Saccharomyces cerevisiae S288C: one gene and its partners. The protein of the gene in region 1 binds, or shares a complex with, the protein of each later gene. Each region holds a gene or a part of one and is shown in the gene's direction. Other genes may lie near its edges.

Region 1 (5,373 bases):
ATCTAGTTTAGTCACTTTCAATTTATTACCTACGGGCTGTAAATGAAAAACTTTAGTGGTAGAGGGCCTCCCTACGACTAAAACTTGTCCATCAGGTGATAAAGAACAAGTTGAGATATTCTGGTCATCTTTTAAAGTTAACTTGCAAACTAGCTTATAATTCTGTTCTGTACTAGAATCGGTTCCCATTGTCCATATCTTAACAGTAGATTCGCTCCATGAAACAACAAGGCGTTGCTCTTTGTTAACTAAAACATTCTTTGAATAAGGTTCGACAGTTGGCATCTTCCTGTAGTTTCCATTAGAAAAAGAAGTAAGTGAGTTGATGACTAGTGTTTTTTCAACACCTCCTGAAACTAGAAAATCTGCACCTTTAGATTGGTATGCACATATTGCTCTAATGTCGTTTCCATGAAGCAACCTATTAGAAGAATTTACCCATCTGTTGTTCTTTTGAGATTTGTTAGTGTTTTGAGAAAATTGAAAGATTTTTCTGTCCACACCAGCACTAAAAACATAATTATTATCAGTATCGGTAGTTAGACACAGTACGTCTGCATCGTGCGCCTTAAATGACTGGTTTAGCGTGGCAAACTGGAAATCCCAGAATTTAATGGAGCCTGTAGAATCACCAGAGGCAATCTGATCAGTTCTTGGTAAATATATAACTGACCAAACTAGAGTTGATTCTTTTTTGGCCTTGTCGACCTTCATAGTGTGTAATAGACGACCCATGTTTTCGTCATTTTTTTGTGCAGACCAAATCCTTATTCTACCATCAGAACAACCACCAATCACGAAGTCATCCTTTTTCCAAGCCAAAGTCAATACTCTGGCTTCTTGTCTCATCAAAATAGTATCGTGTTCCAAGACACCAGGCCCGCCAGAGATATCTATGAGGACCACCGTCCCATTATCGCAACCCACAGACAGCTTGTCTTGTGAATCGTTGATGGAAATAGACCATATCACACCTGAATTGCAATCATAGTTTCTTAATGGTAAACCTGTTGCTAAATCCCATTCTGTTACCACAGTCGAGCCGCCAATAGAAAATAGCCTTAGAGACTCGCCGTTAACGTTGCTCCAGCAAAGGCCTTCAATTGATCTGTCTTTGCCACCTTCGATAACCATTTCCTGAAACCAATTGTTTCTAGGATTCCAGATTTCTATGTTACCATTAGATCTACCAATAGCTAATCTCAAATCGGACGGAGTTAACTTATTTATATTTGATTTATGTGAAAATGCTAGAGATGTGATTGTGGCAGGAGTGAAATCCACAAATCTGCATCTATGCACTATCATCCTTTCCTGACTGGTCATCTTCACCGGTTTGTTTCGTATTTTCAGGCTTCTTGACTTTTCTTTTAAAACTGAAAGTAGCGATGAGCTCATTCGTAGCTTTTTTCTTGTCAGTCTGAAAATTTTTCATTTGGTTTTTTGAAAAAAATCCTGCCTAATATGGTATCAAGAGGAATAACAAGAAAAAAAAATCATGGGGGATACAAAGGAAAACAAGGAGATAATGCAGGTTATACTGAATTGCTCATAGTATTAGCCTAAAGCACTTTACCTCTGATTTATTGCATCTATCGTATTCTTGAGTTATTGCGACTTTTAAAATCCGTGCACCGCATATGAAAGGGTAGAGCCTTCGTGTTTGTTTACCTTTTTAGCTCTTTGAAGATCAAACAAAAACACTTCAGTAATGCCTACAGCCTTGGATAAGACAAAGAAGTTAACAGGCCGCGCCCATCATGCAAGATCCTGATGGTATTGACATTAATACGAAAATCTTTAACTCAGTTGCTGAAGTATTTCAAAAGGCACAGGGTTCTTATGCAGGACACAGGAAGCATATAGCAGTTTTGAAGAAAATTCAGTCAAAGGCTGTTGAGCAAGGCTATGAAGATGCTTTTAACTTTTGGTTCGATAAATTAGTTACTAAGATCCTTCCTCTGAAAAAGAATGAGATTATCGGAGACAGGATAGTAAAGTTAGTAGCTGCATTTATAGCTTCTTTAGAAAGGGAGTTGATATTGGCCAAAAAACAAAACTATAAGCTCACGAATGATGAAGAAGGGATATTCTCAAGGTTCGTCGATCAGTTCATAAGACATGTTTTGCGTGGTGTGGAAAGCCCTGACAAGAACGTCAGATTTAGAGTTTTACAGTTATTAGCCGTTATAATGGATAATATAGGGGAAATCGATGAATCACTTTTCAATTTATTAATATTGTCTTTAAATAAGAGGATTTATGATAGAGAACCAACGGTTAGGATACAGGCTGTGTTTTGTTTAACTAAATTTCAGGATGAAGAGCAAACTGAACATTTAACTGAGCTTTCTGATAATGAAGAAAATTTTGAAGCTACGAGAACTCTAGTTGCTTCTATCCAGAACGATCCGTCAGCTGAAGTACGGAGGGCTGCAATGCTGAATTTGATCAATGATAATAATACTAGACCGTATATCTTGGAGAGGGCTAGAGATGTAAACATCGTTAATAGAAGGCTCGTGTATTCGAGAATTTTGAAATCAATGGGAAGAAAGTGTTTCGATGATATTGAGCCGCATATTTTTGATCAATTGATTGAGTGGGGTTTAGAAGATAGGGAATTATCAGTGAGAAATGCGTGTAAGAGACTCATTGCTCATGATTGGTTAAATGCTCTGGATGGCGATTTGATAGAATTACTAGAAAAATTGGATGTCTCAAGATCCTCAGTGTGTGTTAAGGCTATAGAAGCACTTTTTCAATCAAGGCCAGATATATTATCTAAAATCAAATTTCCTGAAAGTATTTGGAAAGACTTTACCGTAGAAATTGCCTTCCTCTTTCGGGCTATTTATTTGTACTGTTTGGATAATAATATAACAGAAATGCTGGAAGAAAACTTTCCAGAAGCCTCAAAATTATCCGAGCATTTAAACCATTATATTCTTCTCAGATATCATCACAACGACATTTCTAATGACTCTCAGTCGCATTTTGATTATAACACTTTAGAGTTTATTATTGAGCAACTATCGATTGCCGCCGAAAGGTATGATTATAGCGATGAGGTTGGAAGGAGATCGATGCTTACAGTGGTACGAAATATGCTGGCCTTAACTACACTCTCCGAACCTCTTATTAAAATTGGTATTCGTGTAATGAAAAGTCTGTCCATAAATGAAAAAGATTTTGTAACAATGGCAATAGAAATCATTAATGATATTAGAGACGACGATATTGAAAAACAAGAACAAGAAGAGAAAATAAAAAGCAAGAAGATTAATCGCAGAAATGAGACTTCCGTCGATGAAGAGGACGAAAACGGCACACATAATGACGAAGTTAACGAGGATGAAGAAGACGACAATATTTCATCCTTCCATTCTGCTGTAGAAAACTTAGTGCAGGGAAACGGCAACGTATCTGAGAGTGACATAATAAATAATCTCCCACCCGAAAAGGAAGCGTCCTCAGCAACAATTGTTCTCTGTCTTACAAGGTCATCATATATGCTAGAACTAGTTAACACACCGTTAACAGAAAACATTTTAATTGCGTCGTTGATGGACACTTTGATCACACCAGCGGTTAGAAATACCGCGCCAAATATTAGGGAGCTTGGTGTCAAGAACCTTGGTTTATGTTGTCTCTTGGATGTGAAGTTGGCTATTGATAACATGTACATCTTAGGTATGTGCGTTTCGAAAGGTAATGCATCATTAAAGTATATTGCGTTACAAGTCATTGTAGATATTTTTTCCGTACATGGGAACACTGTGGTAGACGGAGAAGGCAAAGTTGACTCAATCTCGTTGCACAAAATATTTTACAAGGTTTTAAAGAATAACGGTTTACCGGAATGTCAGGTGATAGCAGCGGAGGGTTTATGCAAACTATTTTTGGCAGACGTGTTCACTGATGATGATTTGTTTGAAACGTTGGTTTTGTCATATTTTTCGCCGATAAATTCCTCAAACGAAGCGCTGGTACAGGCATTTGCCTTCTGCATTCCAGTCTATTGTTTTTCACATCCTGCTCATCAACAACGTATGTCTAGGACGGCTGCGGACATACTCTTAAGACTATGTGTTCTTTGGGACGATTTACAGAGCTCTGTAATACCTGAGGTAGACCGTGAAGCTATGCTAAAGCCTAACATAATATTTCAACAGTTGCTATTTTGGACTGATCCACGTAACTTAGTTAACCAGACAGGTTCAACAAAAAAAGATACAGTGCAGCTTACATTCTTGATCGATGTGCTCAAAATATACGCTCAAATTGAGAAGAAAGAAATAAAGAAGATGATCATCACTAATATAAACGCTATATTTCTTTCTTCTGAACAAGATTATTCTACTTTGAAAGAACTTCTTGAGTATTCTGACGATATTGCAGAAAATGATAATTTAGACAATGTTAGCAAAAATGCTCTGGACAAGCTAAGGAATAATTTGAATTCGCTGATTGAAGAGATCAATGAAAGGTCAGAAACTCAGACAAAAGATGAGAACAACACTGCGAATGACCAATACTCGTCTATTTTGGGGAATTCATTCAATAAATCTTCAAATGACACCATAGAACACGCTGCTGATATAACTGATGGAAATAACACAGAATTGACTAAAACAACTGTTAATATTTCGGCAGTTGACAATACAACAGAGCAAAGTAACTCAAGGAAAAGAACGAGATCAGAAGCGGAGCAAATTGACACATCCAAAAACCTGGAAAACATGAGTATTCAAGACACGTCAACTGTAGCAAAAAATGTAAGTTTTGTTTTACCTGACGAGAAATCAGATGCAATGTCCATAGATGAAGAAGATAAGGATTCAGAGTCTTTCAGCGAGGTCTGTTAAAATTGATATGCGAGCTCTTCATCTATTTAAGTTGATTTTTTGGTTGTAAACATATTTGTATTTTATTCTTAGGTTTGTTAATTCTTCTACGCTTACCAGATATAGATGCTATATGTTATTGCATTACGCACATTACCCGGTGGGACAAATTATGGAAATATTCCAAGGCTATAAATTCTTTGGTGAAAGGAACTGAAATTATGTCCAGTAATGCACCAGAAATGGACATATAAAACTATTAATGCATTTTATTACAATTATCCTAAGAAAATATCCTATATATAATTAAAGTAAAAGAAATAAGATCAAAAGAACAAAATAAAGTCGAGTAGAATTTTCCTACTTGACTATATTAGAACGAAAAATGTTATTTTATCAAAGTAATTGGTTAGTAGCCGACGTGTTATCCGTTTGGGCCAATAATTCTTTCATTTCTTGCAGCTGCAATTCGGTGATTTTTATAGATTCAACTAGCTGCTGTATTTTATGATCACTAACTCCATTT
Region 2 (6,056 bases), on another chromosome or scaffold:
TCCCTTGAATACCACAACCTCATTACCATTTTTTCCAGGTGATAATATGAGTGACAGCTCAGGAGAATATGAGGAGAGAACCTCTCTTAGCCCTAATAAAATTCACATTTTTCGTGATTATTTTTATAAGTCGCCGTCACCCTAACCATCGCCCATATTACAATAATAACAAAATCCTTGGAATGAAGAGAATAAAATTTTAATTAAAATTAATAAAATAGTTAATCATATTCTTTTGCCTTCATAGATTAGATATGAAATATTTTGCTCACATAAGTTAATATTGCTTTTGCATTTTTGTTTCTGACTTTAGTTTCTCATTAGTCGAAATGACTTTAGTTCTTTAGAAATATTTTAAATTCAGTGGGGGATTTTCGTTCTTTATTGGTGCAAATAACGATTAGTTTTTCATTTCACGATATTTAGCTGCAGTTGATAGGTGATATATCTGCTTTAACTCTTACCTTTACAGTTTGTGATGAAATGATAGGTTTAAACAGTCGTTTAAAGAGTTGTATAACAAAAGGACTCTTAACAATCGAAGTTTTTTTAACATGTTAACACCATCTTTAGTAAACGTTATATTATTGAGTATGTGAAATATACTAGAAGTTCTCCTCGAGAATATACGAATCAATAAAAGAGAAACAATATTTCTCCACAAAATCTTATAATTATTACACCTTTCGTTTTATATGTTTCATTGTCCTATTACATTATCAGTCCTTGCATTTCAGCTTCCATTATATTTGATGACTGTTTCCCAATCTTTATGCCATCTTGTTACACCGCATATGATAATAGATTCTAGTAACATGAATACTACTAATAAATGATATTTTAGAGTTTCATTTCAACAAATATACTATGTGAAACAGTAGTCAAATTTAATATGAAACCGAACATGCGAGAATTGAGGATTAATAGGATGTGAAACATATAAAATGGAAGAAAGATAATTACAAAATTTTGTGGAGAAATGTTGTTTCCATGTTATTGAGTCTTATATCCTTGAGGAGAAACTTCTAGTATATTGTGTATACATAATATTATATTGCCTTAAGCAAAATGGAATCCCAACAATTATCAAATTATTCACCAATTGATCATACACAATAGTTGATTATCATTTCAACATTATAACCTTATACAGAGAGTAATATACTAATGGATGAATACTACCAGTAGAATAAGACATAAACAAATATGATTAATGTCACTTTTTGCTTTTTTGCCGTCATTCTTTTTTATTTTTGTATAATTGGTGGTGTAACGTGGATTAAACATAAATAATAGGTTTCGTGGTCTAGTCGGTTATGGCATCTGCTTAACACGCAGAACGTCCCCAGTTCGATCCTGGGCGAAATCATTTTTTATACCTGTTATATTTCATAGAAATGTAGTAGTATTGCGAGATGAATAAAATGTCTGCTATTCAATAGTAAGGGCTTCTTTCCCCCACCTCTTTTGTTTGATTTTAAAATTATTATCAAGTAACGCGTTGTTTTCTTGTCGCGAGCCTTTTATTTACAACGAGTAAGGGTCAGGATATCTATGGAGTTTCTAGCTTGATCGTTATCACAAACTTTACTACTAAATGATAATTGTTGGTATGAACAGTATATATATATATATATATACATGTTCTGATCTTGAAAAAAAAATAAATAAAAAATGTTATTGATTGCAAGAATTTGGAAAGCAATTCATATGAGAAATTAAAATAACCAATTCCAGATTCTTTTTTTTTTTTTTCACTTTTCGAATTAAGTATCTTAAATACTGCACTTGTATATTTATATTCTTACTGTTGTAAAAAGAAAGACTAATGGCCTTTGTCAATTGCACTTTGGGTAAATTGGAAAGCAATAATATGAAAATTAAACGCATCGCGAAAATCTTGCGACCATTTAGTAAACAAAGAAAATAACCTGTCACTGACCAAAAAAAAGAAAGGTAAAGGAAGCAGCAGTAACAATATCTTTATCCTTTGATAGGTGGTAACTGACTTCGTTACTTTATGAGATGTCCGGCTTTAGCCTTTCCGAGTATCTGACCAAGTTCCAAACAACAGATCGAGAATCATATCCTCGCTTGCAGGACCCATCCAGAGAACTGAATGTTATCATAGACCAATTGGCCGTTTCACCCGAACAAATAGATGCTAGTCCAGATTCACTAGAAGCATTAATAGATCTTTGCCATGACTTCCCGCACTTAACACCGAAATTACAAACTCAACTAAGCTATTTGATAAGTTCATCTCTGTCGAATCTGTCAAAAGATATTAAGGCTAATCTCTCATCAAATGTTAACTTTACTGAAATTGGTGGCCTGATACCGCAGTGGAAAAGGCATTTAGAAGAGTATGGCTACCTTATTCAGGTACTTTTGACGTTTTTACAAGATGAGTTACATAAGGTCTCCTCGCAGTCTACCAATCTAAACCGTTCTGCCAAAAACAGTAAGAATGATAGTGCAAACGTCGAGCTGTTTAAAAGAGACTGTAATCAAATGGAAAACTTGCTTGAATCTATAACAAAGCTACTGGAGATTAACTTATCTAAGATATTTCAGACAACTCCTGAAAAGGATTTGTTTATTGGTTTGTTCACAAGACCATTATTTGTGTTATTAGAGATTGAACCTGTGACGAAGGTATCATCACTAAAGATGTTTATTCAAAGGATTTTGGCTATGTGTGTTAAAAATCACGGTCAAAGTTCAAGTATACAAAGTTCATTGATGACAAATTTAACTTATTTTCTTCATTTGTCGGTTTTTAATGCAGAATTACTAAAACTATTGAATGATGAATATAACTATCCACAACTAACAGAAGATATCTTGAAAGAAATCAGCACCAGGGTATTTAACGCAAAGGATACCACAGGCCCAAAGGCAATATCAAATTTTTTGATTAAATTATCAGAGCTATCACCAGGAATAATGCTTCGACAGATGAATCTTGTCATCACCTTACTCAACAATAGTTCTATAACATTGAGATGTTCCGTTGTAGAAGCATGTGGAAATATTGTGGCTGAATTGGCTCAAGACCCACAAACTATGGAACATTATAAACAACAAATAGCCGTACTTATTGAGTTACTAGAAGAAAGATTCCAGGATTCAAATCCCTACGTTAGAACGAAGGCGATACAAGGGTGTTCAAAGATCTGCGATTTGAGTTCGAAATTTAACAAAAGCAAAGCTAAATTTACTTCGTTGGCAGTACGATCATTGCAGGACCGCTCCTCTTTAGTTCGTAGGAACTCAGTAAAGTTACTTTCAAAATTATTGCTAAAACATCCTTTTAAGGCCATACATGGTAGCCAATTGAGGCTGAGTGAATGGGAAGAATATCTCAAAGGATCTGAATCACAGCTAAATTCCACTTTAAAGAAAGTAGAGTCACAAGAAACTCTGAATGACACGATTGAAAGGTCTTTGATTGAAGAAGAGGTAGAACAAGATGAAGGTCAATGTAGGACCGAGTTAGAAGGTTCTTTCAATAAGAGCGCAGAACTTTCTAGAATAGAAAATGAGGTAGAGAATATAAATGCAACAAATACCAGTGTTCTCATGAAGCTAAAGTTAATGATTGTTTACTATAAAGATGCCATTAGTTTCATTAAAGAGATACACAAGAGTATTGAATTGATATCTAATTTGCTGTTTTCTAAGAACAGAAACGAAGTTTTAGAATCAATGGACTTCCTAGTTTTAGCAGACGCTTTTGACATTGAGTTAAGCGAATTTGGTATAAAAAAAATGCTGCATTTGGTTTGGATGAAGGGCACAAACGATGAAGGAACGAGTATATCAGTACATTTGATAGAATGTTATAAGCAGCTATTTTTAACCGCGCCAGATAGTTGCAATATGCAGGAGAAGGCGGCACATATTGCCAAAAATTTAATTAATCTAAGCATCGGCGCATCTATTGCAGACTTGGCCTCTTTGGAACAGCTATTAGGAATGATGTATGAACAAAAATTGATTGATCAACATGTCATTAATATCCTTTGGGCTATTTACAATTCTGCATCGAAGGCCAGTATGCAGAAAGAACAAAATGTGAACAACCGTGACTCCGAAAAAGGGTTTTCTAAGGAACAAATTCATGGTTCTATTATTATTTTAGGAATGTTATCGTTAGCCGATAACGAAATAGCATTAAAAGGACTGGAGTCACTTTTAAACATTGGACTTGGTGCCGTTGGTTTAAAAGATCTGACCCTTTGTCGGTATTCTTGTTTAGCGTTAGAGAGAATGGTTCCCAAGAGAAGCACTATTATTACCAAGGCAATAAATCAAGAGCTTGAAGATGTTGCAGTGAAAAAGTTGTATGCCATAATTATCAACTATACCAAGGATAATGAATATTATCCTATGTGCGAACAAGCGCTTAGTGCACTGTTTACAATCTCTTCTAAGCCCGATATACTAGCTACAGATCTGATTAGAGAAAAGACAATGATGACATTTGGTAAACCTGAAGAGGAAGACTCTATTTTGTCGTTAGAACAATCATCTAGAGTTGTTTCTCTCAGTCAATTATTATTCATTGTAGGACAAGTGGCAATTAAAACACTTGTCTATCTAGAGAAATGTGAGGCAGAATTCAAGAAAAGAAAGATCGAGGCAGAAACTCGGAACGGTAAAGTAAAAAACCAAGGTGCAGATGTAACTAACACCACACAAGATAACGGTGGTGATAAAGAGCTAGAAATGATAGGAGGTACTAATGAGGACGATTTCACGGATGCTATTCAATTTGTAAAAGAGAATGAATTACTATTTGGAGAAAAATCTATATTAGGGAAGTTTTGCCCAATTGTAGAAGAGATTGTTTCTAATTCAAGCAGGTTTAGCGATCCAATGCTTCAAAGAACGGCAACCTTATGTCTAGAAAAACTAATGTGTTTATCATCAAAATATTGTGAAAAGAGCCTGCCGCTATTAATCACAGTAATGGAAAAATCTCCTGATCCTACTATTCGCTCAAATGCTGTCTTAGGACTAGGTGACATGGCAGTATGCTTCAACAACTTAGTAGACGAAAACACAGATTATTTGTATCGCCGTTTGCATGATGAAAACTTAATGGTACAAAGAACATGTTTAATGACAGTTACCTTCTTGATTTTAGCTGGACAGGTTAAGGTTAAAGGACAATTAGGAGAAATGGCCAAATGCCTAGACAATCCAGACCAGGGAATAAGTGATATGTGCAGATTATTTTTCACCGAGTTAGCATCCAAGGACAACGCCATTTATAATGGATTCATCGATATCTTTAGTAATTTATCGTCAGATGATTTATTGGGTAAGGAGAGTTTCAAGAAAATCATCAAATTTCTGTTAACTTTTATCGATAAGGAACGGCACCAAAAGCAATTAAACGAGAAATTAGTTGGAAGACTGAGAAAGTGCGAGACCCAAAAGCAATGGGATGATATTGCATTCGTACTAAACAATCTACCATACAAAAATGAAGACGTCACTGCATTATTGGAGCAAGGTTTCAAGGTTGTATCCGCAAAAGAATAATCGAACTGACGTTTACCCGTTTCTTCCGTTTTATATTATATGTTATTATATAAATAAAAGCTGTTCATTTCTTTCTTCTTGAAATATGACTTTACCTATCTCGATAAAATTCATTTGTGGTCGTCTTCATTCACTCCTGGGCAATGCTCGTAGAGATCACCTTCATCCTTATACTTGATTCCGCAAAAAAAACAGTAGTACTTCTCGGACCTCAGGAATATATTCAATTTTGTTATTCTTTTTTCAATGCTCAATTCTTCTAATTCAGCAAGTTCTGTGTCTTTTGTAATGCGACTACCGATAATTGAAGTATCACAATCTATTAATGTAGAAGGACGTCCAAACTTTTCACCTTTTATTGCAGGCGAAGCCTCCAAACTTTCATTTACCATTGGTATCATATTATTCTTATCTTCATTATCATTGTTACTGTGATTATTTAGGTCATTTTTTGCTACTTCCTCATTTAGTTGCATAACGTAAGATCTCCAAAGTACGTT
Region 3 (4,418 bases), on another chromosome or scaffold:
TTAGTAGGCTGCCTTGCAGCTTTGGCATTCTCCAAAGAAGGCTACAATGTCACACTATATGATTTTAGACAAGATCCTCGATTGGACACCACCAAAAATAAAAATTTGAAATCCATTAATTTGGCTATTTCTGCTCGTGGCATTGATGCTCTGAAATCAATAGATCCGGATGCTTGTGAACATATTCTGCAAGATATGATTCCCATGAAAGGCAGGATGATTCATGACTTGAAAGGCAGACAGGAATCACAATTGTATGGCTTGCATGGAGAAGCTATTAATTCTATCAATAGATCTGTATTAAATAATAGCCTTTTGGACGAATTAGAAAAATCTACAACAGAACTGAAGTTCGGTCACAAATTAGTCAAAATCGAATGGACAGATGATAAACAAATCTGTCATTTTGCCATTGGGGAAGATTTGAAAACCCCACATACTGAAAAGTATGATTTTGTCATAGGTTGTGACGGAGCATACTCTGCGACGAGATCGCAAATGCAACGTAAAGTTGAGATGGATTTTTCACAAGAATATATGAATTTACGTTACATTGAACTTTACATCCCGCCTACTGAGGAATTCAAGCCAAACTATGGCGGAAATTTTGCAATAGCTCCTGACCATTTGCACATTTGGCCTCGTCATAAATTCATGTTAATTGCGCTCGCCAACAGTGACGGCTCGTTCACTTCAACCTTTTTCGGTTCTAAAGATCAAATATCAGATCTGATAACTTCCAAGTCACGTGTGAGGGAATTCTTAATCGAGAACTTTCCCGATATTATTAATATTATGGATTTGGACGATGCTGTCAAAAGGTTTATCACTTATCCAAAGGAAAGTCTTGTCTGTGTAAACTGTAAGCCATACGATGTACCAGGCGGAAAGGCCATCCTACTCGGCGACGCTGCCCATGCAATGGTTCCATTTTACGGCCAAGGTATGAATTGCGGATTTGAAGATGTGAGAATTCTTATGGCGCTATTGAAAAAGCATTCAGGAGATCGTTCAAGAGCCTTTACTGAGTACACTCAAACAAGACATAAGGACCTAGTTTCTATTACTGAGCTGGCAAAAAGGAACTATAAAGAAATGTCACATGACGTTACATCCAAGCGGTTTTTATTAAGGAAAAAGCTAGATGCTCTCTTTAGTATTATAATGAAGGATAAGTGGATACCTTTGTATACAATGATATCTTTCAGATCCGATATCTCGTATTCTAGAGCTTTAGAAAGGGCTGGAAAGCAAACACGTATCTTGAAATTCTTAGAATCTCTGACACTCGGTATGTTATCTATTGGCGGTTACAAGCTTTTCAAATTTTTGACAAGAGAACGTTCCTGAAGCCAGTTTATTCTTGCCATCCGTGTACGCTAGGAGAGGATTATTAAAATAAGTGATATATACATATATATATATATATATATATATATAATACACTAATTATTTTATGTGATGTTGATCACGCGAAACGGTAAACGGCTCTGTTCGCGCTTTCTTTGTTTACATTTTAGTGAAGTATTGTCAAGATAATATCCATATGGTTGAACTTTTTATATTGGCTAGTTAAATACTCTATTTATTGCACCAAAAAATCATCTTAGTGGACTTTTTGGAGCAAAAAAAACCAGCAGGTAGTTATATAAGATGACTACACAACTAAGGTATGAAAATAACGATGACGATGAAAGAGTAGAATATAATCTCTTTACCAATAGATCCACCATGATGGCAAATTTTGAAGAATGGATCAAAATGGCTACAGATAATAAAATCAATTCCCGAAATAGTTGGAATTTCGCATTGATCGACTATTTTTATGACTTGGACGTTTTGAAAGATGGCGAGAATAACATCAATTTTCAGAAAGCATCTGCAACCTTGGATGGGTGTATTAAGATTTACTCTTCGAGAGTTGATTCAGTGACAACGGAAACAGGTAAGTTATTGAGCGGGTTGGCACAAAGAAAGACGAATGGGGCATCTAACGGAGATGACAGTAACGGGGGAAATGGTGAAGGGCTTGGAGGTGACAGTGACGAAGCAAATATAGAGATTGATCCCTTAACTGGTATGCCTATATCTAATGATCCTGATGTGAATAACACTAGGCGGAGAGTGTACAACAGAGTTTTAGAAACAACATTGGTGGAGTTCGAAACGATCAAGATGAAAGAGCTAGACCAGGAATTAATAATTGATCCATTATTCAAAAAGGCCTTGGTTGATTTCGATGAAGGTGGCGCCAAGAGTTTATTGTTGAACACATTAAACATAGACAACACTGCAAGAGTCATTTTCGATGCATCAATTAAGGATACACAAAACGTAGGGCAAGGTAAACTTCAAAGGAAAGAAGAAGAATTAATTGAAAGAGATAGTTTAGTAGATGACGAAAATGAACCTAGCCAGTCATTGATAAGTACTCGTAATGACTCAACCGTAAATGATTCCGTTATTAGTGCACCTTCCATGGAAGATGAGATTTTATCTCTTGGTATGGATTTTATAAAATTTGATCAAATTGCGGTGTGTGAAATTTCAGGATCGATTGAGCAACTAAGGAACGTTGTCGAAGATATTAATCAAGCGAAAGACTTTATCGAAAATGTTAACAACAGATTTGATAACTTCTTAACTGAAGAAGAATTGCAAGCAGCTGTCCCAGATAATGCAGAAGATGATAGCGATGGCTTTGATATGGGCATGCAACAGGAGCTGTGCTATCCAGATGAAAATCATGACAATACATCACATGATGAACAAGATGATGATAATGTCAACAGTACCACAGGAAGTATATTCGAAAAAGATTTGATGGCATACTTTGACGAAAATCTAAATAGAAACTGGAGAGGGAGAGAACATTGGAAAGTACGAAATTTTAAGAAAGCAAACTTAGTGAATAAAGAATCCGACCTGTTGGAAGAAACGCGAACTACTATAGGAGATACTACTGACAAAAACACAACGGACGACAAATCGATGGATACGAAGAAGAAGCATAAACAAAAAAAGGTTCTGGAAATTGATTTCTTCAAAACGGATGATAGTTTTGAAGACAAAGTCTTTGCCTCAAAAGGAAGGACAAAGATTGACATGCCGATTAAGAACAGAAAGAACGACACACATTATTTACTGCCGGATGACTTCCATTTTTCCACTGATAGAATAACAAGATTGTTCATTAAACCGGGGCAGAAAATGAGTCTGTTCAGTCATAGGAAGCATACCAGAGGCGACGTTAGTTCGGGGCTTTTTGAAAAAAGCACAGTTTCTGCCAACCATTCAAATAACGACATTCCTACTATTGCAGATGAGCACTTTTGGGCGGATAATTACGAAAGGAAAGAACAAGAGGAAAAAGAAAAGGAGCAGTCTAAAGAGGTTGGTGATGTGGTGGGTGGAGCGCTCGATAATCCGTTTGAAGATGACATGGACGGTGTTGACTTCAACCAAGCTTTCGAAGGAACAGATGATAACGAGGAGGCCAGTGTGAAACTTGATTTACAGGATGACGAAGATCATAAGTTCCCCATTCGAGAAAATAAAGTTACTTATTCAAGAGTTTCGAAAAAAGTTGACGTAAGAAGATTAAAGAAAAACGTATGGAGATCGATCAACAATTTGATACAAGAACATGACAGTAGGAAAAATAGAGAACAAAGCTCTAATGACAGTGAAACCCACACAGAAGATGAATCAACAAAGGAGCTCAAGTTTTCTGATATCATTCAGGGTATAAGTAAAATGTATTCGGATGATACACTAAAGGACATTTCAACAAGCTTTTGTTTTATATGCCTTCTACACTTAGCCAATGAGCATGGGTTGCAGATAACTCATACCGAAAACTATAATGACTTGATAGTGAATTATGAGGATCTAGCGACAACACAGGCAGCGTCATAGTTGATGATCTTTTTTTTTTTTTTTTTTTTTTTTTTTGTGCTGCAAAGTTTCTTAAAGCCTTCGGGCTTACGAAATCCTTTATCGCCGAAAGGGGACCGCTTCGAAAAGTGGATATAAAACAAGGTATTTATTTTTATAGACAATGACCAAATGACAGGATAGATCGAGGGTGAGTTCCAATATGTCCAGAACTATTCCATTTCTATTTAAATTAGTCAACAGGGCAGTAATTTTGCCTACGGCAGGTTTTACATTAGGAGTTGGTGCGTTTGTAAAGGCGTGGCCCGATGATGCCGGTGTTCTATCATTGAATGATCCGCAAACGCCAGCGGAGTTGATTAGTGCGACCAAGAGCCGCCAACCTATGGAGCTGCAGAGGGTTGACATCCTCGCTCAAATCGAGAAAAGCGAGGTTTACAACAAGTTGGCCCAGGATGAGAAGATGCACCATGTCTTATTCAGTGAGAAAATACCAAGCGGGCATAGGGAATATCATGTAG

What was found.
Region 2: YCG1 (region 1) and YCS4 share a complex: the UniProt entries of both Saccharomyces cerevisiae proteins name them as parts of the condensin complex.
Region 3: the proteins of YCG1 (region 1) and BRN1 are in contact, whole or in part, in a cryo-EM structure (PDB 6YVD), measured with the Saccharomyces cerevisiae proteins. Residues at the interface, in NP_010612.2 of Saccharomyces cerevisiae: Gln215 (codon at 2,403), Arg245 (codon at 2,493), Asp246 (codon at 2,496), Val247 (codon at 2,499), Gln661 (codon at 3,741), Glu741 (codon at 3,981), Gln745 (codon at 3,993), Phe749 (codon at 4,005); in NP_009455.3 of Saccharomyces cerevisiae: His495 (codon at 3,136), Tyr496 (codon at 3,139), Leu497 (codon at 3,142), Leu498 (codon at 3,145), Asp500 (codon at 3,151), Phe504 (codon at 3,163), Phe513 (codon at 3,190).

Annotation. Positions count from the first base shown.
Region 1 is NC_001136.10:1,115,366-1,120,738, forward strand, and holds YCG1 (condensin subunit YCG1), read left to right. Parts: upstream 1-1,760; coding exon 1,761-4,868; downstream 4,869-5,373. Other genes in the region: small subunit rRNA maturation protein UTP4, read right to left, coding at 1-1,398; YSP2 (Ysp2p), read right to left, coding at 5,244-5,373. UniProt on the Saccharomyces cerevisiae protein: Regulatory subunit of the condensin complex, a complex required for conversion of interphase chromatin into mitotic-like condense chromosomes.
Region 2 is NC_001144.5:683,172-689,227, reverse strand, and holds YCS4 (condensin subunit YCS4), read left to right. Parts: upstream 1-2,025; coding exon 2,026-5,556; downstream 5,557-6,056. Other genes in the region: protein phosphatase regulator PIG1, read left to right, coding at 1-145; CMG1 (Cmg1p), read right to left, coding at 5,667-6,056. UniProt on the Saccharomyces cerevisiae protein: Regulatory subunit of the condensin complex, a complex required for conversion of interphase chromatin into mitotic-like condense chromosomes.
Region 3 is NC_001134.8:39,178-43,595, forward strand, and holds BRN1 (condensin subunit BRN1), read left to right. Parts: upstream 1-1,653; coding exon 1,654-3,918; downstream 3,919-4,418. Other genes in the region: BNA4 (kynurenine 3-monooxygenase), read left to right, coding at 1-1,350; MRX3 (Mrx3p), read left to right, coding at 4,100-4,418. UniProt on the Saccharomyces cerevisiae protein: Regulatory subunit of the condensin complex, a complex required for conversion of interphase chromatin into mitotic-like condense chromosomes.